Tribolium castaneum: one gene and its partner. The protein of the gene in region 1 purifies or fractionates together with the protein of each later gene. This does not show direct contact. Links are inferred from orthologs where the notes say so. Each region holds a gene or a part of one and is shown on either strand. Other genes may lie near its edges. The genes, in order: Atac1 and transcriptional adapter 2-alpha.

The links.
Region 2: the proteins of Atac1 (region 1) and transcriptional adapter 2-alpha purify together in Drosophila melanogaster (affinity purification with mass spectrometry; 4 studies listed by BioGRID, with this or other methods). This does not show direct contact. The link is inferred for Tribolium castaneum from reciprocal best matches to the Drosophila melanogaster genes Atac1 and Ada2a.

What each region holds. Positions count from the first base shown.
Region 1 is NC_087394.1:37,099,543-37,114,799, reverse strand, and holds Atac1 (ZZ-type zinc finger-containing protein 3), read left to right. Parts: upstream 1-8,181; 5' UTR 8,182-8,366; coding exon 8,367-8,516; intron 8,517-8,563; coding exon 8,564-8,680; intron 8,681-8,783; coding exon 8,784-8,918; intron 8,919-8,967; coding exon 8,968-9,070; intron 9,071-9,117; coding exon 9,118-9,230; intron 9,231-9,276; coding exon 9,277-9,588; intron 9,589-9,640; coding exon 9,641-10,093; 3' UTR 10,094-10,171; downstream 10,172-15,257. Other genes in the region: hig (locomotion-related protein Hikaru genki), read left to right, coding at 2,392-2,526, 2,574-2,717, 4,218-4,439, 4,495-4,886; beg (probable malonyl-CoA-acyl carrier protein transacylase, mitochondrial), read right to left, coding at 6,614-6,781, 6,832-7,059, 7,107-7,324, 7,379-7,985; b(0,+)-type amino acid transporter 1, read right to left, coding at 10,864-10,931, 10,986-11,157, 11,205-11,451, 11,502-11,729, 11,778-11,822, 11,881-12,106, 12,267-12,548, 12,594-12,797 and 1 more.
Region 2 is NC_087398.1:11,837,590-11,853,313, forward strand, and holds transcriptional adapter 2-alpha, read right to left. Parts: upstream 9,733-15,724; 5' UTR 9,652-9,732; coding exon 9,591-9,651; intron 9,548-9,590; coding exon 8,695-9,547; intron 6,224-8,694; coding exon 5,788-6,223; 3' UTR 5,760-5,787; downstream 1-5,759. Other genes in the region: adult-specific cuticular protein ACP-20, read right to left, coding at 1,594-2,145, 2,191-2,202; rhodanese domain-containing protein CG4456, read left to right, coding at 10,004-10,006, 10,062-10,493. UniProt on the Drosophila melanogaster protein: Component of the histone acetyltransferase (HAT) complex ATAC; predominantly involved in acetylation of histone H4, including at Lys-6 (H4K5ac) and Lys-13 (H4K12ac).

The DNA of each region.
Region 1 (15,257 bases):
GACCCAACCGCTTGCTTTCATCCTGAAAACTCTGCCCTAAATGAGAGTAAATGTGACCAAATTAGAATAGCCTGAGTAGGTGTTGAACAATGTCATCTTCATGATGATTACAGTGGTCAAATCTCTAATTAATTTAATCATCAAGACCAAACATTGAACGTAGATCGTTATTTTCGGAAATTATTAACGCAACGTTCGTTGCTTAAAGCACTAATTAATCAAATTAATGAAAATTAAAAGACGCTTTTTCGGTACTTAATCATCCGATAAAAAATCCCGGCGTGAAATATGATTATGAAGCTTTCCTCGGTCAAGAAATTTGTGAGTAAAAATAATTGATAAATATCGAGAGCTTGAAAAAGCAGGTATTTGTTAGTGTTTAAAAAAACTTCTCCTCCTGTCATGAGCTTTGGAAGCGCTGAAGTGTGTTTATGAGTTGGACGATTACGTTGTTCTTCGGTCAAAATAAACAATGACGTGGAGAGCTTTAATGAAAAGCCATTTGTTCGCTGTCTGTTTAAGATACGCTTATCGGAACCTGATAACGTTTTATCAAGGGCACCAATGAGCTTTTTTAACCTATTAATTATAACTTTGCAACTTTCGTTCGCAAAATGGAATTTAATTTGAATGTAAGATGAGGGCTCAAAGAGAGAAGGAAACTTGAAAGGCGGTATACCTGTTGTGAAATTTTTACAGAAAATTTAATATTCGTTTTTACTCAATATTGCCTAGATGCTTCACAAATTAACTCTAGACGAGAATTTAATAAAATATGGAGTAAAAATAGATCTCTACTGCGTTAATTAGTCCACTAACTAATTTTTCAGCAAAAAAATCCATTTCTGAGTCAATTTTATCATTAATTAAATCAACAGTTATGAAAGCAAAACATCTAAATTGTACTTGTGAGTCGATTAAAAATCTTGTTGTGATAATGTTGTAGGTCGAGCGAGTCGGCAACATTTTAAGTTTTAATTTGAAAAGTTCGGTTCGAAATTTAACTTTCAATATTTGATCAAAGAAACCACGAATCCTGGCATTCGATTGTAATGCTACAAAATGATAAAACAGAATTCGATAAATAATGAATATGTTTCCCACATTTCACAACTCGATAAATTTGCGAAATTGGCAATCGTCTGGATTTAAACAGGTGTTAAATAATAAATTTCATGTTTCGTGCGCTGATTTATGTCGTGGCTTTTATAATTTAAAAATTCCTCCCTTGCAGGTATATATTTTAAAATTTACGTCGGTTAATATTTACCCACTGGGTAATACTAGAGCACGTTTACAATAAATCGCCCGTAAAACGAAAATATTGAGGCATTTATTTATTCGCAAGTAAATTCCAAGCGTCAATTTATTCGGACCTGTTAAAGGCAAAGGAAACTTCAAGCGAAATTAGAACACGATGAAACAAGAAATTCGCGACTTTGTGGGATTTGTTTCTGAGGAGATATTTCATAAATTTTGAGACGCTGTGCTCCCATAGGACGTGAACAATGTCTTTTCGATGGAAAGCAATAAAACAAATGGTTTCCGCATGTCAACTTCCAGCCTACACAAACATCTATAAAGAGAGATATATTCATATTTAACAGGCAGATTATCGGGAAAGGGGCCCTAATCGAGGTTTAGAGACCTCGTTAAATTTTTATAAGACAAAAATAGCGCGCGCGCTACGGAAGGTTTTATCATTGTAATAAACATTTAAAAATACCCACACGAAAACTAAATTTTGATAAAACTGTTAATAATCTCGAACGAAAGATAATTAATATAATAACATGAGATCGAAAATAAACTGAATTGGAGCAGGCCATGCCTGCGGAATTTTAGCCTCATGTCAAAAATTGACAGATAAGCCTACATTGTAGAATGCTGTTTTAACAACTGAAAAAATAAATTGGTGAATGATGCCTAGCAGAATTTCGGAAGAAACTTCTCCAAGAATTTTTTAAACGTTTATTTACTAAGTGTCTTCCACTGTCATCTGCAACAAAAATAGTTTGCAGATACTATCATTTGGTCTAATTTGTGATAAAAACAATAATTTACAGAATCAAATAAACTATTCTTATTATTAAAAAACCTCACCGAGAATATTAATTTTTGAATTGTTAATGATAATGATACAAAAGATAATTAATAGTTGGTCACTTGTCATAGACAGGATAATAAACCCCGTTCCCCCATTGATTAAAATTCATTTTTCTATTGTTGCCGTCGTATTGTCAGTGACACGTTTTTATTAATTACTTTTCTCGAACCGAAATAATTAAATTATTTATCAGTCAGCAAAAGTCGTGTGTTTCTATCACCCTTGAGCGAATCGTCTCGAGGTGAATTCGTCAGAGACTTATCGAAGCAAACAAATTGTTCCAGGTTGGGCAATAGCGGCAGAAGAGCGTGATTGGAAGTATAGATTATCGATTTATTATGTGAAGCCCCAAGACTCCGGTACGTTCACTTGCGCCACTCCTAGAGGAATCACCAACAGTCTCACTCTGCAAGTTGCAGGTGAGGATTTTTTTTATTATGCAGAACTTTTATTTTTTGTAATTTAGCCGTTCATTGTGACCCCATCTCTGTGTCGGGCCCCCATCTCACCATAAGGGTGGAAGGAACCCGTCTTGGACACACTGCCATCTTCCAATGTCCAATGGGATTCAAAGTTAATGGTGCAGCTAATCTCACCTGTCAGGCTTCGGGTGAGTCGTGTTTGACAAGCACTACTTATGGTTTCAATCCTCAACCGAACGAGGATTTCGCGGGTCTCATGAGAGGCTTTCCAATGTCCGAAATGTCGGAGTGAAATCATATTCGTGGGGAATTTAGATTCGCTTGAAAAAACCGCCATTTCAGAAATAAACCGCCTACTTAAGTAATTTTGAATTAGTTTTTATTTGGTTGGTTATTGACAAAATCTCCGACATTATCTCTGCCGTCCCACGTAATAAACCGAAACGGCAAACATTTATTTCTTTATGCCGTTTTATGTGTAATGCTATATATTTTTTTATGTTTATATTTATTCTTTTTTCTCAGTACTACTCCTAAAATGTTTGATATAAAAAAATGTTGTATTTTTTACGAGGATGAGTTTTATACGCAACTGTTTGTAATTGAGGACCGGAACGAAATTCAAATTTGTTTGTTTTCAAATCTAATTAAATGAACTTACATGTTTAATTATAAAATTGGTTGTTGTAATTACTATAAAATGAGCAAATTGGGTTTATGGCTGAGATAATTGACAAGAAACACTCATACCATGATTAAGTATGCAATAATTGGCATAAACGACTGTTTTCCAATTAAAATTTAAACTAAAATATACTGTGTGACAATAATGGCTTAAAAACTTAATATTTGGTGTCAAAAAATTTATTTTTGGAAAGATTAAAATTCATAAAACATTACTCCTGAATCTTATCACGTCTTATTTAAAAAAAGTTTCGTTAAAAACAAGCCGAAAGTCACCAAATTGAATTCAGAGCGAAAAATGAATGAATTGTGACCACGAAAATTATATTAAAAGTTGTTGAATAAATTGGATACGAGACACAGGAATATTTTTAATTTATTTGCTCTAGTTAGTTAAGAGAATTTCACAAAAGTGTTTTATCCACTTTTCTCATAAAACTCTAAAATAACTAACCCCTTCTTTGTAACTTTTGTCTGAAGTTATCTCTCCCTTATTTCCCGTTGCATTTTACCCCCAGATGCACGTTTTGCATACAAAAGAATATATCTCATAATCAAGCTCCAACTTTACAACCCGAGTACATCAACAAATCGCGACGTTCTAAACCCCAGAATCGTGACTATGTTCACAAACGATTTAAAAATGATGGATACTAATAAACTGCTAAGCAAATAATAGCCATTTTCAAGTAAAATGTCGTACATAGCTTAGTATTAAAATAAAATTTGTTAGACAAAATAATAGAAATGTTAGGTAATTAAATTACGTTTTGATAGGTAAAATAATCTAACTGTTAAATGGTAATGAATTCTTTAATAGGGTTTGCTAAGAAAAAAATAATAATGCGCTAAAAATCAATTGTCAAATTGTTTCTACGTTGGCTTCGTTCCTATGGCAATGTCGCAGGGTTCCAACATAATTTCAAAATTTTTGACATTGACAATTGATTTAAAAAAACAGTGAGGTATAAAATAACCTATAGCATTTAAATTTTTCCAATCAGGCAAATGGTCAGCCCCTGTTCCAACATGCGAGCTCGTAAAATGCGAATCATTAGACACCCCCGGCGGCCTCTACGAGCCCCATTTGCACCTCGAAGAGCACAACAACAGTTACGGAGGCCGTGCTATCTTCAGCTGTGCCTGGGGCTACCGCCTCATGGGGCCCCCAGGCATCGAATGCGAACTGAACGGTAACTGGTCGGGGCCTTTGCCCAAATGCGTCCGTAAGTAACCGCCAAAATTTCGAAAACCAAAATTGATTTATTAAATTTAACCCAGCTATTCAATGCCCGCCCCCGGTGATTCCCGTCAACGGCCACCTCATCCAGTCGGAGGCGGCGGGCATGGACGGGGGCCGCTATGCCGTGGGCAGTTTAGTACAGTTTGCCTGCAGGGGGGCCCACCAGCTGGAGGGCGAAGCCAGCATTATTTGTACCGAGACTGGGTTTTGGTCGCACCCGCCCCCTTTCTGCAAACCGCGGTGCCCCTATTTGGGGGAGCCCGACAATGGGCTGGTGGCCCCCACGAAGTTTGCCTACGAGCCTGGAGATGAGCTCCAGATCACCTGCAGTCCGGGGTTTGAGGCCAGGTTGGAGGCAAGGCCTAAGTGTCTCCCAGATGGGAGGTGGTCGGCCCCCTTACCCAACTGCACCAATTATTCGGAGATTTAATAAGATATTAAGCGTTGAATGTTTGTGATAATGATGATGGGAGAAACATCGTTGATTTTATGACTCGTAATTAAGTATTTTTCGGTTATTTTTTACCAAAAAAGTTGTTACACATGATGATCTCATGCCGAATACAAATTTTTATCAAATTGTAGATATTTCTAGCGATAGTGAATGTATTTACAACGAAATTTATGTACCATGTAATTGATTGGTTTTTTATGTAAATAAATTCAAAAACTGCCTTAAGGTAGTCAATTTATATTCATCTGTAAAAGTTTATGTAATAAATTTATATTGTCAATAAAACGTACAACTGATTGCGAACACTTTTCAATGACGAACGCTTATGGTCAAAAAAAAGTCATCAAGTTGATTTAACTCGAGTCGTAAGAGAAGACCAAACAAAAAATTACAATTTTCCGCTGAAGTAATTTTGTAAATGACTAACTGTTAATAAAGAGGTCGTCAAATGGTGCGTATACACTTTGCCCTCGGTATTTTTTGTTCTCACATGTGGAAAAACTGGGGAAATTAATTAAACCGGACGTTTTCAGTCCGTATTCACTAACACAAAAATAAGTAACCAATTAATTAAGCCAGGATTAATGAACAGTATTTTGTGTTGTTGTTTAAAAGAAGTCTTTATCTTGGTTGATGCACTCAAATAATTAATTCATTCTGTTTCAAACCTTGAGCAAAAACTGCTAATGTCATAATTATTTGTCTCTTTGTATTGGTGGCTTTTCTTTCTTACTTTTGTCAGTGGGATCCACAAAAATAACGGAAAATTCTATTAGATTTTTTTTAAATTTAAAATAAATCGTAGAATTCGCTGAAACAAATTGCTTCGCCCTACGACTTTTAGTTCTAGAGTTATGATTTTTTTTTAGTGAAAAACTAAAAATACCTCTGAAAAAACTTAGTGAGTGAGAAGAAAATAAGCCCAAAAAATCACATTTATGGAATTTTCTGACAAAATTTCTACCATTGTTTTGTTTTTCGTTAGGGACATTTAATAGGTTGGTATCGCGTTGCCCGGCCTACTTTTCCATTTTCGAGTCTTGTTTCATCAAACTCTCGGAGAAAAGCATCGGAACAAGGCAAAAATAAAAGTTCAGACATAATTTGGCCCTTTATCAGCTCTGTTTTCTCGATAAAAATGCAATAATACCAAAAATTGCTAACCTTATAGGTAGCGTCTCCCTCGCTTTTGAACCGGTCCTCCAGCGTTTCTTGGAATTCGTTTCCAGCCGGCAACCGATGATGTCATCTCGTCAGATTTCCAATAGAAAACTTTGATTTCAGTCAATTTGGCACTAATTACGCGAAAAACACTTTTTTAACAACACATAAAAGCAAAAACTTAACGACGCGCTTGTGAAAAAAGTGCGTCCCCACTAGACCACCGCGTGACATCAAGTCAGGACATCTCATTGGTTGGTTCGTCGAGACGTCAAATCGAGAGGCGCGCGATTTCAAATTTGCGTGCTCTCTACATTTGAGGTTCATTTTCGACTTTTTGCTCCAATAACCGAATTTCACAAACGAGCAATTTCGTTTAAATTATTTTTTTTCACCATTCGATAAATAATTTGAAGCACATTCGGATGCCCCTTTTAATTTTTGCCTTATTAGGCTTCAAGATAAAATGTTCGTTAATGGTTTTGGGGAATTGGAAAAAGAAAAAATAATAGTTGTTTCAAAAATTTTATTCAAAATAAACTCTACACTTGAATATTAAAACACGTAGTCCATGCTTTGGCATTCACTTGTTTAAGGATAGCCCTTAGGGACGTGCCTGGGCCACACTCAAACGTCCTTGGGAAATAATCCCCTTGACTCCTCTCATAAACAACATGAAGAAGTTGTTCCCACTTTACAGGTTTAACAATCTGGAGAAAGAAAAACTCAAAACACGAAAAAAAAAACACTTCTAAATTACCTGTTTCGGCAATTGTTTTTTGATCTGCGCTGCGTCTTTGTACTTTTTCCCGTCAACATTTGAATAAACACTAATTACAGGATTGCTCACTTCTGATTTATTTAATGCCTTTCGAAACGGTTCAACCGCTGGTAACATTAAATTGGAATGGAAAGCTCCACTAACCGCAAGTCTTTTAACTTTACGTAAATTTAATTCTTTGGCATTTTTTTCCAAATAATCAAGCGCCTACAATTAACTGCATAACAACTACAAAAATGAAGAAAAAAAATTACAGATTCGCTCCCCGAGATGACTTTACAATGGGGGTACAAATAATTGGCAATTTGACATTCGGGCATTAAGTCGCCTTTATCAGTTGCCCATTCCTTGGCTTTGACTAGTGCCTGGTTTAACTTCGTGTCAGGACCGTACATTACTGTGACCATCCCCCCCTTGTACGCCTCACTAGCCAATTGCATTGCTTCCCCCCGAATTTGCACCAATCGTAACCCTTAAAAAATTCCAAATAAAATTCAATTTTTTGCCAACTGGTTGTAAAATAAACCTCGCTCAAAACCAATCGCCCCCGCAAACACTAACGCTGTAATTTCCCCCAAACTGAACCCTGCTGTCCCCACACAACTCTCAATAGCCCTAGGTCTCTCCTCTTTCAGTCGTTCAATTGCCGCTAAAGAACTGACCATTATTGCCGGTTGACTATATTTTGTTTGGTCCAATTTGTCTTTGGGACCCTCAAGACACAATTTTAACAAATCGTACTTTAAAATATAATTCGCTAACTCAAACAAATCCCTAGCCATGGGGTACTTGAGCAAGTCATTGCACATACCGACAAATTGGCTCCCCTGACCGGGAAATAAAATTATCGAGGACTCGCGTGGATCATATTTAGGTTTTTCGATAAATGAGACACCCTGTTTGCGAATTTTGGTGCCTTGAGGGTATGGCAAAGTAGCCCATTGTTGTTCTTGTGTCTGGGGGTGCAAGTCTTCAAAGGTTGCTGATTCGTCGAGGAGTTTCTTTAGGGGAGATTCTTGCGTTTTTTTCTCATCACAGTTACGATTTGAGGACAGGGAGAAGGGGCGAAGCCCTACCAAAACACGATCGCAGTCTTTCAGAAAATTTCGTGTAATAATTTTAGTAAACATCATGGTATAATTAAACTGTTAATCAAGCAAAACACACAAAACTAATTCAAATAAAAACACATTTTAATGATTCAACTTAACCTCGAATGTCAAGTTGCGACCATATGACCGATTGTTCGCCCAATCTAAACTTTAATCCAAGACGCCAAATTTATCACCACTGATGCAAACTACTCTACTTGAGCTAGCTTTAAGGAAAATTAACGAAAATGAAGATCGGACGGAACCACTTTCGTAAATTTGGTCTTGTTTAAGGTTGTCAAAAGTAAGGTTACAGGTCAGCTGTCAATTTCACGTGTGTAGTGTTTATTTCTTGTATTTTTTTGTAAATTAAGTTATACGAGAGTGAATTGTGTAATATCTAGTCAATTTTTTACAAACAAAATGACAAATACGCAAGAATCGGACATAAATCCTGAAGAAGATTTGTACTATTTCGAAACGGATCACTTGGCTTTGAGAGGAAATAAGGACTATAGTGAGGTTCTTAAAAACTTGCTCATTCTGTGTGCTCAGAGAAAACAAGCAATAAAGGTAAAGTTGTGTGAATTTAGTTACGTTTCGATTAAAAAAGTCTTCAGGACTATAACAAAGCAGTAGAATTGAAGAAAGAAGCACTGGCAGACCCGGCCAAAGTCTTGGAGAAAATTATAAAAGGGGAGTCTTTGGGAATGCCAGATATGCACCGCATGCCTGAAGTAATTACAATTTTTTTGAGATTTTTTTCACCTAATTACATTAGAGAACAAAATATAATTTTTAATAAAGCAAGGAATATTTTGTTCATTTGGTGCATTTTAGTTGCCGGTTATTGACTGGTCAAAGTACGATATTAAAATCCCGGAGGAAAGTTTCAAATTGATTTATTCAGACGGTTCTGAGACTGTTAAGAAAAAACCCGAAACGCCGAAAAAAGAAACGAAAATTTCACATGGGGTAACACATTTTGTAAAATCGGTTCAAATAAAATTGCTTGATTCTATAGAAATGGACAACAGAAGAGCAGAAACGTTTAGAAGAATTGCTCCAAATTTATCCGCCTGAACCGGTTGAAATGAGACGGTTTAAAAAAATCGCTGATGCTTTAGGTAATTAATTAGGCGAAAAATATTAAAACTTGGTTAAATTTTCTTAGGTAATCGAACAATTCAGCAAGTCACGAGCCGAATTCAGAAATATTTTGTGAAATTGTACAAAGCTGGATTGCCAATTCCTGGCCGAATTCCAAAATCTGCCGAAAAACACAAAGTGAATTTACATTATTTTAAGGCACCAAAAAATTATTTTTTTGTAGAGAACGTCATTACATAAGCACCAGCGTCACAATCATTATTTATGGAAACCTACAACTTTTTTCCCCGATTTATGTGTTCCTGTAGTAATGAATGACTTGGATAATGTTCCTGGACCTAGTTCGAAAATTACAGATGAGATACAGCCTTCTACAAGTTCCAATTATCTCATACCTTCGGTTTATCACCAGGAGAGTGAGATTTTGCCCCAAAAAAGTGACAGTGAGTTACAGCTGGAACTTTTAAAACGGATACGAAAAGTTAAAATTAGGGAGAATGAGAGTGGGTCTAATTTCCAACACGTGGGATTTAAAGTAAAAAATAATAATAATTTAGCCAATTTTTTGGTGATTTATTTTCTTATAGTGTGATTATTGCAACGATGAACCAATAATTGGCACCAGATGGCATTGTAACACTTGCAAAAATGACTCAATTGATTTTTGTACAGACTGTGTTTTAACACAAATTTATTCCGATAATAGCCACCCTTTAAACCACAATTTAATCGCATGTGGTGATAGAGAAATTGAAAGTGATTCAGAGTCAAATAGTGGCAGTTTGGATCAAAATAACGAATCAAGTGATGAAGAAATGAGCGATATTTCGGATAATGTCAAGGACCAAGTGATGGCAAACGGAATGGACGAAAGCGAGAAAATTGATAATAAAAATCAAAGTGAAGAAATGCCAAAGTTGGAGTTTGGTAATTATGGTAATGACGAGTTTGTGGACGGACTTGGGTCCGATTTGTTCAGCGAAATTGAAAATCTTTCATACGATTATTTGCACTCGAATTTGTTGCTTGATAAGGATTGAACGTTTTGTTGTTGAAGATTTTATTTATTTATTGCCTTTGTTTGTATGTAAATTTGTGATTGCAATGAAAAGTTTTTTTATATGTTAGCTTTTCGTTTAACCCTTCAGAGCTCTCCTGAAAATCGACGTGATAACGTAACAAAAATCAATGAATAAAACTTTGTTTACAGCTTTGCAAAAATTAGTTACCTTTTTGTTGATCATTTATCTTAATTCTTACATAACTTTTTTAATATTATTCAGTGCGTGTTGTGAATTTTTGCGTGCTTTTAATACGCATTTATTGAAAGTGTTTTTTTTGGTCAAATATTTCGAATTTTCAGAGTTTACTCATAATTTTTTGTAAATAATGCATTCTAGACCTGATTAAGTGATTTCCTCCGTTGTTTTTACAAATTTCCTAAAATTTATTGATTTTTTTAGACTTAATTCTACAATTTTTTACCTATAGTTTAAGCAAAATCTTTCCAGTTTTTTTTTAAATTCCATTGAAAAACAGTTTTAAACAAAATTCTACAAGTTGAATTTAATTTATTCACTGCAACTAATTTATTTAACGTATCACTGACAACTTGACTACACTTATTATTTCATTGAGCGGTCTTTATTCAGTAAAATAAAATATGTATTTAACGTTCTTATCTGTCAAAAGAATAATAAATCATTTATGATGTTTTTATCGTTTCTTATCGTAAAAATACATTTCCGTTTATATTTCATTTTATTACAACTGCAATTATAAATTACATAACATCTCAATAAATAATTTCTTATGTAGCATTTGGATTATCGGGTGGCACAGCCGCGAATAAAATCTGAATAAAACGTGTAAACTTTCCTAAAAATTGCAACAATTAGTAAATTACCCCACAAAAAATTGTAAACCTCATACTCATCAACAATTCCGGTGTTCGCTTCTTGTAAACAAACCAATAATAAACCAAAACCCCCACCAAAATAAACGCCAAAGCGAGCAAATATTTCGGAGTTGGATCCGTAATAATGGGCGTAACACTCAAATAAATAGCTACCAATAAAACGAAAACACAAATCCATGTAGGCACCTGAAAAAAATCATTAAACCAAACCGAAAAAAAGATTTTATATGTACTTTGTAGGGTCGAGGAGCATCTTTCATAGTCCTCCTTAAGACAAGTAACGAGACAAAAGCCAGCCCGTAGAATATCCAAATGAGGAAACTAACAAATTCGATCAGTTCAACAATATCCCCAGCTACGATAAAAAGGAGCGATAAAATCCCCTGAGAAACGACAGCGAATGACGGAGTTAGACGTTCATGATGAACGAAGGAAAGACTTTTGATCATTAGGCCGTCCTGTCCTGCCACATAACACACCCTTAAATTATTTAATTCGTTAAAAGACACACAAAATTAATTTTTTGGTACCTAGTGACCCCAAATTGTATACTTAGGGCACATCCAAACGTAGCTAACGCCACTCCTAGTGGTATCAAAAACGCCAAAGGGCCTAAAACCCTTTCACCGAAAGTTACAGCAACAGCAGGCGAATTTATCATCTCAGGTATCGATAATGCGGTCATGTATGCCATGTTCATAAAGACATACAAACCGGTGACTATGGGAACACTTATCATTATGCTCCTCGGGATGTTTCTGCAATTATTCAGTCACGTTTTTGTTCAGGAATTAAAAATTACTCACACTTCAGGTCGTTTGATCTCTTCAGTGATTACAGTGACCGCAGACCTGTAAAAAATGGTGAGTGTGTGCCATTTCCAGGCCTGGTTTTTACAATTACAATTACCATCCGTCATAAGCCCAAAGTCCGCTATAAAAGGCCAAAGCGATGCTTTTCGGTGTGTACTTTGTGCCTTCGAAGCCCCGGTTTAAATTGTCAGTGTTGCCTTTGATGATTTCGTAAAGGCCGCCAAAAATCACCACCAAACAGGCGAATACTTTAAATCCGCCGAAAATGTTCTGCACTTTGACGTAGAGTTTCACGCTTGAAACGTTGATGTATGTTATTATACCTACAACGAGTACGATTTCAAACTGAATAGCTATTATCTAGCGTAGTTTCTCAAGTAATATTGGCTTGGTTACAGAGTTACTTTTTTACATATTACTTAGAATTTTCTCTTTACGTTTATTTTATTTTTAGTTATTCTGGGTTTATAAGTTTTTTCCTACCTAGGGCGAGTAAGGCCACCGTTTTGACCGCCTTCTTCACCTCTTCAGAGTCGTCCTGTATGCACATCAGATCTAGCAACGGTTGGCACAAATATTCGGAAAAAGTCAGTATAATAACAGCGACTTCTGCCGGTTTGATTATCACAATCATGACCCAGGAGTAGATGAATGAGGGCAAATGGCCCCAGAATTTGTGCAAGGGGCCAAACGAGTCCATATAGTAGGCGTATTCGGCCCCTGAACGTGGGATAACAGTGCCTAGTTCGGCAAAAGCCAGAGCTCCTAAAATGTTTGTTGGAAAAACATTTTTTTACGAAAAAAAAATACCTAGAAGGGAGATTATTCCGCATACTGTCCATACAACTAGACACATTCCAACTGAACCGGAATGTTCGAGTGCTGAAGCTGGAGAGACGAAAATTCCGGATCCTATCATGACGGCAAGAATTAGATTTATGGCGGAAAAAAGGCCCAATTCGCGCTTGAGTTGGACGCCTTGTTTGGCGTCGCCATTTGTGGCCGCTATGGTCCCTAAAAATTTATCATTAGACACTATTTTCTATTGAAATTTCGTAAAACAGGCTCAAACATTTCCTAATTAAATAATGTTCAAAATTATGTTATTTTCTCGCCTATTTTGATCTGAAAACTTACGTATTCGAAATTATTGTCCGTATCTGAGTGACTTAGCTTTTTTTTAAAGGCGAAAAAAATTAATAAAACATTTTTCTTTGGGTATTATTTATTTAGTTCTATTTTATTTTCAAGCTTTGTAAAATTTACAAACTCTTCGTGGATGCGCACGCACAGCCCCAGTTACAAGGTGGTAACAAGGAAGAAGAAAAAGCTCCCCTATAAAGAACGCTGTCTCTTCTCTGCTAACTGTCCTAAGGTTCAGACATGTTATGTGTTATGTTCATAACTATTAACGCCTTATTATTATAACATTATTAAAATCGGATTAAAAAAACTGACCTTTGGACATGCAATTATATTGTTAGGATTCTGCCCTGTTTTTAAGGTATATTAAAAACGTTAAAATTTTGAGGCACGAAGTAGAAACAGCATTTCTATTGACTACTGGGAAAATAAATAACTATAAACTTCACTATAATATAATATTGGTGTTATGGACTAATTTAAAAGTTCTGGTTTAGGATATTACTGTGAAGTTTTTGCTTGGAAGTTCATCAGGAACTCCATTTTCTCAATTGTTACCATTTTTCTTTTCATTAACAAAAACTGGAACTGACAAAGTTTTTGTATTTCTTCAGTTCAAAAAATAAAAGCAGAAAATAATCTAAACTCAAGTTTTTTTATACTGTTTCAGTCAGTTTAATAAATACTCTCTTAAATCAAAATCACTTGCAATCGTGGATTTCTAGATTAAACCACTCTTATGTTTGTTTACCAATTTACACAGGACAGTACACTGACTTCTTGACATTAAATTATTTAATGTCGAGTTTAATGTTATTGTTAAAAATTTTTAAATAAAAATATAATAGTAAATATTTTATTAAGCCGTACAATAATTTTTTGCACTTCTTAATATTAGTTAATTTATTAATCATTTAATAAATTTTAATTCGAAGGAATTGTAGAAAAATTCTGAAAAAATTCACAAACATAGAGAAAAATATAATAGCAAACTCTGAATTATGTGCGTCATTAGTTTTTCATATATATCTACTAAAAATATAATTTTTGTAGATTCACTCCGCATAAAAATTTTAAAAAATTTGTTTTTCTCCGTTATATTAGAGGTTTCCATAATAAACTTTGAAACCATCACCGGCATAGTATGCTTATATCTATTAATCTGTTAGTTATTTATTATCTATTACTCTATCTTTTAAATACGTACCGACTAGTAATTTTTATTGGTCTGTAAAGGCGAAAAATGTCTGTTTTTCTCTGTTAATTTTACATAATAATGTCCATTATTCTTATCTATTAAATATACGGGATGAGTCTACTAAGTACATAATGACGTCATCGACTCTTTTTCGTTTTTTTTTACAGATCCAATAAAATAATACAAAAGGTGATAAAAAAAATCATGTCTGACATTTCTCTAGCGACAAGCTTGAGGCATTAGATCACAGAACAACGTCAAAAATGCCATTATTTTTGCAAGTTCTGAGGATTTAAACAAGTTTTTAGACCAAAAATCAAGTTTTTCTTCCTGTTTTTATTAAACTCGAACAAAAAAATGACTTTATTGTCACTCGTATCGTATTTTTATTTGTTACATTTTGCTCTAAACATTTTGTAAATAAGCAATAATAAGGTATAATCAAATAGGATCATGAGCATATGATTACAACGTAAATTACGGGTAAATGCTGTTTACTCGATTTGGTAATCAACAATTTTAAGAACATTTAAATTGTTTGGCAGCCTAATTGTTAATTTGAGTGCTATGTACAAAATTATGAGTGCATCTCAATACAAAAACCAATTCTCACCGTAAAATTTAAAGAATTTTTGTTTTAGAGGCTGCATTTTTTGCGGAAGGTGTAAATTATGACATAATCATAGCCTATTGTCCTGGAAAATGTAACACCCCCTTGTTTCCACGGCAACCTGACGCATGCGGAAAATGGGGAAAGTCAATTTTCATGCTCATTAAAATACAAGGTGTTCCAAATTAGAATTACGTTCAGGTTTTTTTTTCATTTATAATTATTGTTAATTAAGCCACCCTTTGCCACAAGTGTTATTTTTCGTTACACAATAAGTTTAGATAAATCTTACGTATTACAGTACATAATCAATCATCTAAGAGTGTAATAAACACTTATCGATAAAATGCATGCAATAAAACACTAAACTTTCCACAAAATAACAAAAAATTTCAACTTACCGGTCATTTTTAATGAAATTACACTTGAAAAACGAAAAATTGAAATTACTGCATTGCTTTAATACTGAAGAAGTGTGTGGTGTGCGTTCACCAGATTCGAATAAACTATTGTGAGCACTGAC
Region 2 (15,724 bases), on another chromosome or scaffold:
AGGGTTTAATGACCTAATAGTAATTGGGCTTAATTTTAAATATAAGAAATGTGTGTTAAAATTACATTTTATAACTTGAGGTTATTTTATTACTCTTAATTAAAAAACATGTTGTCAAATATGTTCATTTTAAATTTCATAACAATCCGTTAACAAATAACTGAGATACTAAGCACGAAAATCTTAGGTGAGACACCCTGTATAAAAAATTGTCCATTGTAAAATAAAGCGTGAAAAAAGATAAGACTTTTTTATTTTATTTTGTATTAAGTCCATTCAATTTTTAATTTCATTTTTTTTACTGTCTACATACAAATACGTATCTGTTTTTTTATTAATAAAAAAGTTTTGTACACCAGATTTTTTCAAGATTTCCTCCAATTTAATTATGATTTAGTCCTTCGATTTCGTCTCATTTTCTTAAGATTTCTCATAATTTCCTCAATTTTGTACATCGACTTCCTCTGCATTTTACCCCTCAGAATACTCGTAATTTCAAGTAAGGTAGGTAGGTATTTCACGTTATTGTATCCTGACCTGTTTTTCAATGTCCTGTACTGAAAAAATTATCATAAAAAATACTGGAAAAAGTATCATAAAAAATATTTTTGTCAAATTTTTCTTGAATGCTCCATTTTTTTTTGTTTTTGCAAGCTTTTTTTACTTCTTATCATTAAACCAAATACTTAAATTTTCAATTTTAAAAAGTCATGCCCGACTTTACATCACTATTTTTCTGTAGTTTGTCCAAACAAATAAAATCAAATTATTGCGCTTAAATTAACACTAATAATTGTCAAAAATGGTGAATTCCAAAATCATTTACTTCCATCGACTAATACTGTAACTTATGAATAAATGCATTTTGATAGTAAAATAACCCGAATTTTTAATATTAATTATTTAATTGCACCAAAAAAATATTCACGGCTTTATGCACACGTACTTTATGTATCCGAGTATTTTCATGGTGCATCAAATTTTTGATTACATATTCGTCTAATGCTAGATGGTTTTTGTAAGATGCCTGAAAGTTATTGGTTGAAATTTTCTGAAGAAATAGTTAATAACAAGGCCTACAAAGTAATGCTTTTTTTTCGTGAAAATTAATTTCGAAAAAGTAGGGGTTTACACGTTTACAACCGACACCTACCTCAAAATTCTTTTTTTTTAACTTTGCAACTAAAATATTTGATACTTTTTCGTGTAGTCAATTCCGATCCAATCTATTTTATAATTAGCATGATGAGTATAAATCAGATTCTAGGTATTGTAAAAGTTGTCGATAGATTTATTTCATTACTGGTGTAAAGACGATGAGTTTTTTATTATAGAAAATGGAAAAAATGAATGACTAACTTTGAAAAAAAAATCGGAAAATAAAGAATTTCCCAATCTTATTTAAAAATTCTCTCAGCACTTTTAAATACTCACTTTTAATTAGATACACGAAACATAAATCTCTCACGTGAATAAATCAATCATAATGTAATATACGCAACAGTTTTCAGGTCAAATAACACGCCTTTCTTAATCAAACATTTATTGTTTATTGAATTAAATAACTAAGACAATCGCAACATTACATTAGTATCCCCCGATTCCATGATGCACTACAATTCCATGACCGTATCCCCCTTCGTAACCGTGCCCCAAAAGACCCACTCCTCCCTCGTATCCATGCCCCAGAAGTCCCACTCCTCCTTCGTACCCATGCCCCAGGAGTCCCACTCCTCCAACGATGCCATGGGCAACAGGTACCACTTTCTTGACGACGACTTGCGGGTGCACGGCATGGCCCACACGATGGACGACCGCATTGAACCCATTATGGTCATCAGCGGTGTACTTGACCACGCGCACGGTACCATCGGGCTCCACCAGGGAGTACTCCCCTTTGACAACATCCCCATCTCGGACCTCGGACTGCTGGTGTTTGTCGCCGGTGTGATGGTCTTCTATTCCGTATTTGAAAGCGTATTTTGGGTGGGTGTGCACGTCCACGACCCCGTGGCTCACCCCAACCACCCCATGGCTCACCCCCACGACCCCATGGCTCAGCCCAACCACCCCCACGTGGTCCTCCAGTCCGCCCAAAACAACCCCAGCGCTGGCTACGCCCAACAAAAGGGCGGCGATTGCGACCTGAAAACACCCTCAGATGGGCCAAATTTGTGGTTTAGTACTCACTTGTGATATCATTTTGATGGTACTTTGTGGTACTACACTGATTGCTGGGTTGGTACTCCGGTATTATATAGTGAGACAGTGGCCGAAAAATTGTAAATTTGCGCGAGAGATTGACGGTTTGAAAGTGGAACGAAATATTTTTGTTGCCAAGTCCAAGTCTGTGACATTTATTTTTTTGAAAAAATACCACACAGTTGGTTTCATTGGGCGATTTGTTGGGGAAAAATATAAATACAGGTATGTGTGTGCGTAATTTATGCGATAATTTTAATAAAACCTAATTAACTTGTATGAATTACCCAACTTTGGCGCAATTATAGTCGAATGTCATTAATAATACAATTAGGATATTATGTCATTACCGTATTAATTACCTTAGAATAGTTGAGAGGCAAAGAATGCTAAAAAAGACATAACATTCCACCCACATTTTTCTTTTTATGAAAAAAAAACACAAAATTAGGTTTTTTGTTTAAATCTAAGTTGGTTAAAATATCACTACTTTGAGTAAAATTTTTTACAAACTTATGTAATTGGCGCAGTCAGTAGGTTAGTTGTACAAATTTTTGGAAATCTTTTTCGGAAGAACTTGGACTTGACTTTTTAAAATTATTGTTTGCGTATTAATGTTATCATTGTGAATTACTGGAGGAGTTCCTTTGGTTTTATCCGAAGTGCTTATAACTACGTTTAATATCTTAGAACTGTTGGAACTGATCAACGGAATTACAGGAATCGTTTTGGAATTAGCAAAATTAAATTAGAATTGCGAGAATTAAATTGGAATTATAGCAAGAATTAGAATTTATTATCTCGAATTACTGTGTATACTAGAAATTGCTAGAATTTTTTTTGAACTCCTGGTGTCATATGTAAGTTCTTTTTTTTAATTACTGGTGTCTTTTTAGAATTATTAATTATGGAATTACTTAAGTTTACAGAATATTTTTGTGTCAGATGATTTTTTTGCTATTGCTGAATGATTACTGGATGCTGATTACTGAAAATGCATATTTACTGACTGACTGACTGTTGCTTCATATTTTTTGCTGTTGTTGAGTACTTGTTGAACACTGATTTCACAACTGCCAACAGATTTTTCCCATCTGCTTTATTTTTTTGAAATATAAGTTGTAACTCATATTATCACTAGAAACTCGTGATGATGGCAAATTTGAAATTTACGCTCAAAAGTAGAAAGAATCAACTTAGGATTCAACTCTTAAATTAGCGGCAACAGACAAATAGTAAAATTTTGCAAACCAGTGTTATCGAAAATAACACACGCTATATACTGAACATACATATTGTATAACCATAGCTAAAAAAATATATACCATTATTATACGATTACTTGGAATGAAAATTACGTTGAATTTCTTCTTTTCTAAAATAATTTAGAAAGAAATAAAACAAATAAGTTGGAATGAAGGAATACGAATTTACTAGAATTTCGAAGAAATTTTTTTGGAATCACTGCAGAAGTTTTTTTTGAAATTGGAAATTTTACACATTTTTTTCAAGCTAACGACAATATTATGCGTATTTTGCAAACGTATTTTGTGGCAAATGAGGATCTTGCAAATATTCAGCAATTATTCAAATAAAAAAATCCTTGGAGTTTTTTATTAAAAAAACAACACAAAGAATTAGCAGTTTTTCATTAAAACGCAAAATTTACTCCCAAATTAAATACTGTATTTTTTATAACTATTAAAAAAATGTTTGGTAACAGAACAATTCTTAAATTGTTAGAGTTTTTCAGATGAAAAAGGCAGTTTTTAAGCAAACAATTTTATTAAATTTAAAAATCATTTTTCGTCAAAAACTTAGGACCTTCTTATCGCATTTCATCAAAAATAATTCAAAAAATCGACAAAATTGGACATATTTAAATAGCTTTTTTTCGGCATTAAATATTTATAATGTAAAATAATTAATAAGGCTCTGGTGTTATAATTTTTACATAAAAATCCGGAAGATTAATAAAAATGAATTAATCATTTTTTGATTTTTGCTTTGAAGATAATACTTTTTTTTAAATAATGTCAGAAACTGAACGAATCCTAAAAAATTGTCAAACCTTTATTCCTCCAATATTTTTCTTTTAATAGTTAAAGCATTTGTACAAGTAGTAGCCAAAAAAAGCTAGAATTATTTAATTTTTTAGGTTATTTCACTTTTACAAAGTTCTACAAAATTTTCTTGTCTAATAAAAATGGAGAAAAAAAAAACTGATTTTTGGTCTAAAAACGTGTTTAAATCCCCAGAACTTTAAAAAATAATGCCATTTTTAACATAATCCTGTCAGTTCTTGGCTTACTGTTTAAGAAATTTTGCGAAATAATTGAGTTTTTGCTAAGTGAACGATTACAAAAGGTAAATTTTTGGTTCCAGTTTAATAAAAACAGGAAAAAAAATGAATGAATGTTTGATCTAAAAATGTGTTTAAATCTTCAGAACTTGCAAAACAATGTCATTTTTGACATAATCCTGTGAATTACTGACTTACTCTTTAATAAATTTTGCGAAATAATTGAGATTTTGCTAAATAACCACTTAGAAAAAGTATATTTTTGCTCATTTTTGACAAAATCTGGGTTTTTTTCATTCTAGTTTTATAAAAACAAGAAGAAAAACTTGATTTTTAGTCCAAAAACGTGTTCAAATCCTCAGAACTTGAAAAAATAATGTTATTTGTGACGTAATCCTGTGATTAAAGGTAAATTTTTGATCAAATTTGGTGATTTTTTTTCGTTCTAGTTTCATAAAATCTTGAAGAAAAACTTTTTGATCTGAAGACGTGACTAAAAAAGTTCTAAACGTTTAAAAACTGGTTGAATTAAAATAATTTAAAACAATTTTGCACCGAGATGCTCAACGCGCTCTCATTTTTACTCTGCGGTATTACTTTTTTTTCGTCTTTTGTTTAAATAGTTCTCCGAATTTAAACAAAAGAAGAAATAATACACCCATAAAAAAATCTTGTAGTTTTTTTTGGTAAAAAAACAACACAAAAAATTAGCAAATTTTTATTAAAACCCAATATAAATACATATTATGACGAAATTATGCCTCCTGTAGTAAAAAAATGCTCCCAAATTACAAACTGTATTTTTTCTACAACTATAAAAACTTCTAGTATTGTATACTGCGTTTAGTTTGGATGTCGTCCAAGACGGCTTGCAACTCCTCGTCTTCGAATCGTCCTTCCAAGCTGGGAATCAAAGACTTTGCCTCTTCAGTGGTTTCAGGACACAGATTAGCAATGGCTGCTAATTCGAACTTGTGCAACTTTTTCTGCATCAACAAACTATCAAACAATTAAACATAAAAAACCCAAAATTTAATGAAAAAATTACTTTCTGACGGCTGAGATCGTTTCCTTATTTTTAAATTTCCTAAACCTATCCGTGTAAGTAAGAGTCTTCATGAAAACATCGGAAAACTCTTGCTCATCTTCCGCCGACTCGTTCTGCGCCTTCCTGTGCTCCAACAACATGTGGACTTCCGAAATGAGCAAAGTTTCCGCATTCTCAAACTCTGTAAAGAAGAAATAAAACCAAACATTCACAACCGAAAGTATATTTGAGAAAACTAAGACACAGGTTTGACAATGTAACCCTCCTGTACTAAAAAATCGTACAAACGCCTAGTCTTATTCACATCAATTTTGAGTATTTTTCTCGCCGTTTTGAGTTTAATAGAACCCATCTTCTTGTTTTCAGTTATAAGAATGTCTTTGAGCTCGAGATAAGTGATGGGTACCAGTCGTACAGTACGGCACAACTCCCTCTCAGAAGGAGTCAGTTTTTCGTAACCGGGCATGCCGATGATTTCAATCGGAGTAAACCCGGATTTTTTCTTCGGAGTTTCCACCGGAAAGCTCCGGTTGGTCAACTTCCAGTTAAACTGCGCGCTGGCGTGGAGCGTCTTCAGTTCGTTTTCGCACTTGTCGTGAATTTCTTTCAATTTAACGTAAAGTCGGGCGTCGGCGAGTGACGTTATTCCGCGTTGACGTAATTCACACAATCTGCAAAACCCCCCTATAAAATTGGGCGCTTTTATCTCCATAAAAGCGACTTATTGATGTTTTCCAAAAAAATCAATGTCCCATATAGATATGGAATCCATACCATGCAATCACTTTGGTAATTAACTGATTAGTGACCTAAAAAGTTTGCGCATACAAAAATACCAAATCAGAGCGAATTTGTTATTTTAGCTTGTTTTGCTTGGTTTAGTTCGTTTTTAAAGATTTATTTGCTTGGCAAGATCTCGTCAAAACATACTTAAAAGTCGTAAACATAAAACGAAAATATATTATTTTGTTTGTTTACTTGTTTAATTTCTTTAGCTCGTTTTTTAAATGATGTTATAGTTGACTTTCCAGTTGTTTAAGCATGTTTTAAATGTAAAATTATAGTCTTTACACTTTTTGAACTAGAGATTTATTTAGTTCGCAAGATTTTGATCGTAAAAAAATCGAAATTCATTATTTTTTGTCTCGTTTTAGTATTTCTTCAAAAACCGTGGTCATTAAAACACTAAATTACTTATAGCTAAATTTTTGTATTTCAGTTGAAAATAAATTTGAGGTAAAAAATGCAATTTTCCTGAAGGAAAACGTGCTTGAAAAAACACATAATTCAGTCGAAAACGATGTTATTATCCTGTTTTTTAAATTTTTTACTACGTTTTTCTCCCAGAAAGTTATTTATTTTAAAAAATTCTTCAAAATTGAGAACTGGATCGAATGTAGCACTATTTGCTATGTCTCATGTTTAACCAAGGTTTTCAACCAGATAAAAGAATATTTATTTTGCGAGCTTTGCAAAAATTTCTCAAAAAATTGCCGAAATATGTGTAAAGTAACTTCGTTTTTGCAAGATTTTGTTAGAACGAAATACCAATAATATCACAAAACTAAGTCAAACGTTTTTCTTGTTCGTCAGGCTACAGCTATTTGAAGAATTTTGTCTGTCAAAAATTCTTCAAAGCCTTTTAGTTCGTTTTTAGCTAAAAATTCTCTTTCATATATTTTTATTAACCTTACAATTACACCAAAAATTGTGTTAATGTTGTCGTTTTCGTATCTTTGGGCATGTTTTAAAATAAAAAAAATTGCAAAAACTAACTGAAAATCCACAAATTAAATCGAAATTGTTGTTGTTTACTTTGGATTGGTAAATTTACTACTTATTTAGTTTGGATAATCTTGCCAAAACACGTCTAAAATATTACAACATAATTAGAAAATTCTTATTTTGTGATATTTCGCCAAAAAACATTACTTTGCAATTTCACGTGTTTTAGCATTTTTTTTTAAATTGTGTTTAAAAATGACATAAAAGCATAAACCAGGAGGAGATAACACAAAAGTCGATCGTTTTTCTTGGCCAAAAAATGAGGAGTTTTGTCAATCAATCAAAAAAAGATGTTACTCAAAAAAATCACAAAATTAAGTCAAAACTTTTGCTTTTGCAAGCCGAAGATTTTTAAAGACCAAAATTAATGCTATGTTGCAGCTTTTTGTGAGCCTTTATACATGTTTTAAGGTAAAAATTAAAGTGTTTAAAAATTCTCTAGCTAGAAATTCACAGAATTAAATCTAAATTGGGGTTATTTTAGTTTACTTTGCTCAATTAAGTTCCTTTTTTGAACGAGAAATTTAATTTAATTACTCTGCCTTTTTCGAAAGTTTAGCATTTCTTCAAAAAACGTAATCACCAAATTGTTATTATTATATTATATTTTTAATTATATTTAATATAATAAAATATAAATAATAATAACAATTATATATTATATAAATAAATAAAATAATTAAATATATATGTAATTATATTCTTAACTATCATATTTTAAAGCTCGTTTTTTTAAGGTAAAACGCAATTTTTACTGAAATTTTGCTAAACTTGCTTAAAAAATCTGCTCGAAGATGACAATATTTTACTATTTATGAGATTTATTACCACGTTCATCCATAAAAACACATTTATTTCGCAACATTTGCTCAAAAAGAAGCCAAAAAAATTGCGATTAGAACGAAATTAGCATTATATTTGCTTTTTCGAGTGTTGAAGCGCCGATTTGTTTGAAAAAAATGTTAATTCTGCATTTAGCGAGTGATATAACTTTTTTCGCGAGATTTTTTTAAACCAAAACGGTTCCATTGTAAATAGCTATTTGTGCAACGAGATAGAAAAAGTGAATTCTTTCTGGAAAAAACTTACGAGTTGAACACAATGTTTTGTAAAATTCCGTGAATATTGAAGAGTTTGAGAATTTTTCATCGAATTTTACAAGTGTTTTTTTTTCCAAAATACAAATTGTATTATTTTTCGTCACGCCACTAACTGTTGAAGTATGTTTTAACATTTTTCTTTGTTTTTATTAATCTTTAGTGAACATTTTTTTCTCCGTCGTGTTTTTTTGGAACTCAATAAGCCGCTATTATGGAAAATAACCAACTTTATATTAATTCAACCGTTTGATATGAACCTAAGAATTTGTATTTTGAGTTCGCCGCTGTGGTGTAACCCCTCCATCAACATTTCGAACTGGACAGGAGTACAAAATTGCATAAATCGGATCAGTTTTTCATACACAGGACGTGTAATCGTAACGTCATACCGATGAAGCCAAGCGTAAACTTTCCGCAGAATAATCAATCCGTGTTCTCTTATGATTTTTTTCCACCTTTGGCGCTCCCTCAACCGCCGGTTATAACTCTGAATGATCGCACATTGAAGATTTGTGATCAAGTCAAAATGAGGATCGTCCTTATCAACCGGTTTAAGGTTCGAGAGCAGATCCTCAGCCGACGAATCGAACTCGCATTCGAAATCGGACCTCGCGGGGTTATAACCGGCCAAAGACTTGTACCCCACTGTGTTGGGGGAGTAGCGAGGGGGCTCATCGGTGTCGCTAATCCGCTGTCTGTAGGGCACCACCGGCTCACAAAACCAGTCCCTTTTGCTCGCCTCGGGCAAGTCTTTGGACCCCTTTCTGTCTAAATAAAACCAATCGTAGTGCGCCCTAATCTCCCTCACACTCCGATTTGGGAACTCTTTCGCCACTAAATTCCAGTTCCCGTATTTTTGTAACGACTCTAACAACACCACCTCCTCCCGAGCCGTCCAGTCCGTGTTACCCCAAACCGGAAAATCGTCGCGGATTATGTGATAATCGTGATCGTTCTTGTGCCCCCCAAACTCCGCACCTTTCGAAAAACACAGCGAACAAATATTCACTTTACACAAAGCGCAATAAATGTAAGGCGCGACCAAATCGCACGAACAATTCGAACAAACACTATCAGAGTCACTAGAGTAAAACGCAGGGGGGCCACAGTCTGAAACCTCAGTTGAGAACGAGAAGTAAACAAGGGGGCTCACCTTTGGGAAACTGCAAGTCAGCGGCGTCTTCTTCGGTTAAGTCGGTGTTTGCGTTTGCCATTTTTTCGAAAACTGTTTGGATACCACAAAAACTTAGGTTATGTGCATAGGTTATGTGAGCGGCAAGCGCTGCCTACCTGGCAAAATTTAAAGCACTAGCACTTTACTAGTGCGGTGTTTTTTGACGATTATTTATGAAATTATTATGTAATTCGAACGCAATCGGCATAAAACGTGAAAAAAAAAATAATTGGGGAAAATTTGATTGTAGCCACGGGACCTCTAATTTGTTTTGTGTGAATTGTGTGATACCAACGGTGACTGTAAAAAGTCTCCAAACTGATTTTTGCCAAAACTGTCGTAATTTAATAAAACAGGCGATAAAAAATAGTAAAAATCGCTTTATTGGCGCTATGGTAGTTCACTTTACAAAAACTAATCAATTAAGTTAATTACATAATTATTTTTTAGGTTAGGTTACCAATGTCGCTATCAAGGGGGCCCCAAATCCTCTCCCTTGTGAACAAAACGCCCGTCTTTCTTAGACTTTTCGCAACGCAAATCGCCTCATTTGATGAAGTCAAGTCAGTAAAAACGACTCCTAAGACTCTTCTAATCGATGTCAGGGAGCCCCACGAATTGCAGGAAACCGGAGTTATTCCTGACAGCATCAATATTCCACTTGGCGAAGTCGAGAAAGTGTTAAAAGACATGCCTTCTGAACAATTTCAAAAAACTTACAAAAAGGCTAAACCTGATTCTAGCACCCCCTTAATTTTTTCGTGTCGTTCGGGGAAACGTAGTGCCCTTGCGTCCGAGATTGCGACGAAGTTGGGGTTCAAAGATATAAAGAATTATTCCGGGGGGTGGCTAGAGTGGGAGGAAAAAAGTAAAAATATTTGAGTTGTAAATAAATAATACGTTATATGAGTGTAGGGGTTGTAGTTTGATTTGGATTTAGGTAGTGCCGTATTTACTTATTTACTGCGGCACAAAAGTGATAAACATGGAATGTTAAAAAATAAGTCAAAAAGAGTTTGCAATCTACAAATCTCGTCAAAAATTTTTTGAATGATAACACCTTTTGAAAGGCCTGATCACCATAAGTCAAAAATACTCACAAAAGCAAAACCAAATAATAATTTTGCATGTGTTTTGCCCTGAAGTGGATATTAGATACGATTTCTTCATTTGTTGATGTTAGGAGCATCCAGCGCCAATGTGGACACAAACACTTATTGCAAAAAAACATCAGCGCCGTTTTGAAAACAACATTTACCTACTCCATGACCCCCTTCCGTACTTTTAATAACGTGGGACAGTTTCCTCGAACTTTTCGTCTTCTTTGTTGGATTTTTTAAATGTTAATTGTCAAATTGAAAAAGTGCGCGCGCATGCGCTTTGATTTTTAACATGTCATTCAAGAATTCACTGGTTGAATCTTTTTGATTAATATAAAAGCGTTTCAATTCAATATTTCTTATTTATTTCCTCTCATTGTCCCAATTTTTGTGCCCAACATTACCTAGGGGGGTAGAATTCAGAGAAAAACTGAAGATGTGAGATGCAACAAAAACAAAGACAGACTCATTAATCATCATTTTGTGAATTAACGTAGGGCACGTAGTGACTGTTGTAAAATGTGTAAGCATTTTGATTGGGCCGTTTGAGGTCGGCCATTAAAATTACGGAGAAAAACCAATCAGTTTGGATTTTTTGATTCATTGAAAATTGTGGTTTTGGATATGATTGGTCAATTTATGGTCAGCCATTATAATGAAGTTAGAAACCAATCACTTGAATTTTTGGACTCATTCACAATTCAGTGGGAATACCGTGAATGGTTGTTTTCCTCTTGGTTTAAATTTGAAAGCAGTCAATAAATAAACCTTGTTTTTTTTAAACGTCTTTTTTTTAATACTTCCCTATAAATAAAAAAATTATTGGTAAAATTGGCAACAACTCACCTCAAGTGCCTCAAATTTTGTTGATTTATTTCGATAAAAAAAATTACGTTTTCGTTGAAGTATTGCCAAAAATAATGGGTTTTGGATGTATTTCTTTCCTTTGAACGCATTATTATCAAAATTTTCTTTTTCGGATGTTTATTATTGGGAAAACACTAAATTTGTAGGGCACTACCCTGTTTTTTTCATGTGCCCAATTTTTTTGGCTTTGCTTTTTGCAGGGTTTTGGGCCTTTTTTCATTGTTTACTTTTGAGAAAGCCGCTAGATTTGTGAGATTCAACCTTGACTTTTAAGACGCCAAATGTTCTGGTCAAAGAAGTAACAATGTAGTATGTCCTTCTAAAAAGTTTTATTATGGAATTATTTAGGCTAATAATTCCATAATTATGGGGGCAAAAGTTACCCCAGAAGTACAGATTATAGTTTTTATCTTTAAAATTGCTTATCCAATTTTTATAAAATTTGGTATACAGTCGTTATTATAGATAATCATTTAATAGTGCAAATTGTAAGGTTGTAGAACATTGTTAAATCGGGCTACGAGAGCCCCCTTGCCAAAAATTGCTTCATAACTTTGCAGCACAAATTAATATGACTTTTGTTTTACTTAAAACTCATACCATTCAGAAAGTTTTCTATCCCTTGTAATTTTTTTTGTAAAATGTACCTTTTTGAGTAAAATCATAAAATGTGCAGAAAATATGCAGTCGATATCAACATATACATCACAATGTTTTTAAACTAAACAAAAACTTTACAAAATTCTTATCGGTAGGTATTTGTCCATGTTTCTGTTATTTTACTGATTTCGTCTCTAAAATTTTTACAGAGGATCTTTTGCTGTAATGTATAATAAAATAAAATATTCAAAATTAATCAGAAAACTGCAAAAAAATAAAAAATGCCAACTTTACGAATGAAAACTACGCCAGCAAACAGCGATTTAGAAACTTTTTGGTGTTTATAAACTGCCTCAAGTTGGATTCTTAAATTTTTTGAATGAAACTAAATTCTTTACAACTTTGTTTCTTACATTTTTTATTTGTAGCGTTTTCGAAATACGAGCGAAGCCAAAATTGATTATTTCTTGACTTCCACTGAATTGCAGCATTGTGTTAACAGATTAAGACTAGACTGGTCGTTTCGTTGTAAAATAATTGAATGTTCAGCGATATAAAAAACGCACTTTATTAAAGTACCAAAAATCTCAGTCCGCTGCTGGATTTGACGGTTAGTTTATTTAATAAGCAATTATAATTTAGGTACGCGAAGGCCGCTTATTTTTAGTACACAGGAATGTTTAGACCGATTTGAATAGAATATAATCGCAATAACTTCGAATTAATTTACTTTAATGAGTAGAAAAGGTGATAAAACCGCTGTTATCTCAATTGAGAGTTTGCGACCTCGCATTATCGCTTTTATTTAAATGAATGAATCCCCGAGACGTCCACCTTGAGGCAGGGACTCCGTCGTGCATCATCGCAAAGTTTAATTGGACTTGACCGGCGCGCCAAAAACCATTTCATATCACATGTTGCCTCCATCGTGTAACAATCACGCTCCCAACTTTGCTAATTTCCGCTGTTTCGTTATCGGTGAGTGCGAGTTGAGTGATGCGGCGGGAGTCCTGGTGCTTCCTCCAGGTAGGTAAACCCCTCGGCCTCCAAGTGCCGACTCTTGCTTGCCTTGGACGGTCCAATCCTAATCCCGACCGTTCAATCGAATTTATCACTTATTTACACTACGTGTTGTTATCAAACAGCACAACAGGTGCTCGAATGTTATCGGGGGGATGTTCGAGGGAACGGCAATGGACACGGACGTGTCCTATTATTCAAATGGGTTCGATAAGGAGTTTGCTTTCTCGTGCGTGAGGAGATTGAAGAACGAAAGTTTATGCTAAATATTCGGTTACAGTTGAAGGTCTTGGATGAGTGAGACAATCGGAAAAATACGAATTGTAATTATTTAAACAGTTTTTTATTAATTTCCATTTAGGAGATAATCTACCAAATGTGCATTGTTCTCACTACTTCTCACTCCAGTCTAGCAATTGCGTTTTTTAGCGACAAAACCATTAAAACATTATAAATTCATTACCCAAGGTCTTTGATGAGCAAATTATTCGATTAGTAAATTGTCAAGTGCACAGGAAAATTAATAACAATTACAGTAAAGTTCATTTGTGTCTCTATTCGATAAAAACTAATGTCAGGTTTTCTCTGTTTCGTTTTCCAATAATATAATTTACATACGGAAAAACATGAATTAAAAAACGTATTGAAGAAATAGTCAGAATCTTTAGCTGTGTCTGGGGAAAAATAAAATAAAAACGCCATTAAATTCTGAACTAATTCGATCTTGTAGACTACTTCAGTAAACACACTTCAAATAAGAGAGCTTCTGGAACGGAGAAGTGAATAAAAAAATGAATGAAAATTCTTTGAATACTGTATAATTTTCATCGAAGTCCTGAATTCATATCCCAAGATCTTAGTACCAATTTATGCGGGTTTTTGTTTGTGTTTGATAAACTAGTGCAAACTGAGTGAAAAAATGTATTCTAATTAAATATTATCGTCTAACTAAATACGATAATCAAATATTATTTCTTAAAAACGTACAAATTTTGCAGTAATTTTGCGAATCCTACTGACTGCGCCAATTTTTTAGTAAGCGTGTAAGTGTAAAGATTTACAGATGAAACTGGCGAAATGATTACGTATTGTGATTAAGTTTTCTGTTAAAAAGTCCTGACTTCATATCTCAAGATCTTAGTACCAGTTTATGCGGGTTTTTGTTTGTGTTTGATAAACTAGTGCAAACTGAGTGAAAAAATGTATTCTAATTAAATATTATCGTCTAACTAAATACGATAATCAAATAGTATTTCTTAAAGACGTACAAATTTTGCAATAATTTTGCGAATCCTACTGACTGCGCCAATTTTTTAGTAAGCGTGTAAGTGTAAAGATTTACAGATGAAACTGGCGAAATGATTACGTATTGTGATTAAGTTTTCTGTTAAAAAGTCCTGACTTCATATCTCAAGATCTTAGTACCAATTTATGCGGGTTTTTGTTTGTGTTTGATAAACTAGTGCAAACTGAGTGAAAAAATGTATTCTAATTAAATATTATCGTCTAACTAAATACGATAATCAAATATTATTTCTTAAAAACGTACAAATTTTGCAGTAATTTTGCGAATCCTACTGACTGCGCCAATTTTTTAGTAAGCGTGTAAGTGTAAAGATTTACAGATGAAACTGGCGAAATGATTACGTATTGTGATTAAGTTTTCTGTTAAAAAGTCCTGACTTCATATCTCAAGATCTTAGTACCAGTTTATGCGGGTTTTTGTTTGTGTTTGATAAACTAGTGCAAACTGAGTGAAAAAATGTATTCTAATTAAATATTATCGTCTAACTAAATACGATAATCAAATAGTATTTCTTAAAGACGTACAAATTTTGCAATAATTTTGCGAATCCTACTGACTGCGCCAATTTTTTAGTAAGCGTGTAAGTGTAAAGATTTACAGATGAAACTGGCGAAATGATTACGTATTGTGATTAAGTTTTCTGTTAAAAAGTCCTGACTTCATATCTCAAGATCTTAGTACCAGTTTATGCGGGTTTTTGTTTGTGTTTGATAAACTAGTGCAAACTGAGTGAAAAAATGTATTCTAATTAAATATTATCGTCTAACTAAATAGATAATCAAATATTATTTCTTAAAGACGTACAAATTTTGCAATAATTTTGCGAATCCTACTGACTGCGCCAATTTTTTAGTAAGCGTGTAAGTGTAAAGATTTACAGATGAAACTGGCGAAATGATTACGTATTGTGATTAAGTTTTCTGTTAAAAAGTCCTGACTTCATATCTCAAGATCTTAGTACCAATTTATGCGGGTTTTTGTTTGTGTTTGATAAACTAGTGCAAACTGAGTGAAAAAATGTATTCTAATTAAATATTATCGTCTAACTAAATACGATAATCAAATATTATTTCTTAAAGACGTACAAATTTTGCAATAATTTTGCGAATCCTACTGACTGCGCCAATTATTTAGTAAGCGTGTAAGTGTAAAGATTTACAGATAAAACTGGCGAAATGATTACGTATTGTGATTAAGTTTTCTGTTAAAAAGTCCTGACT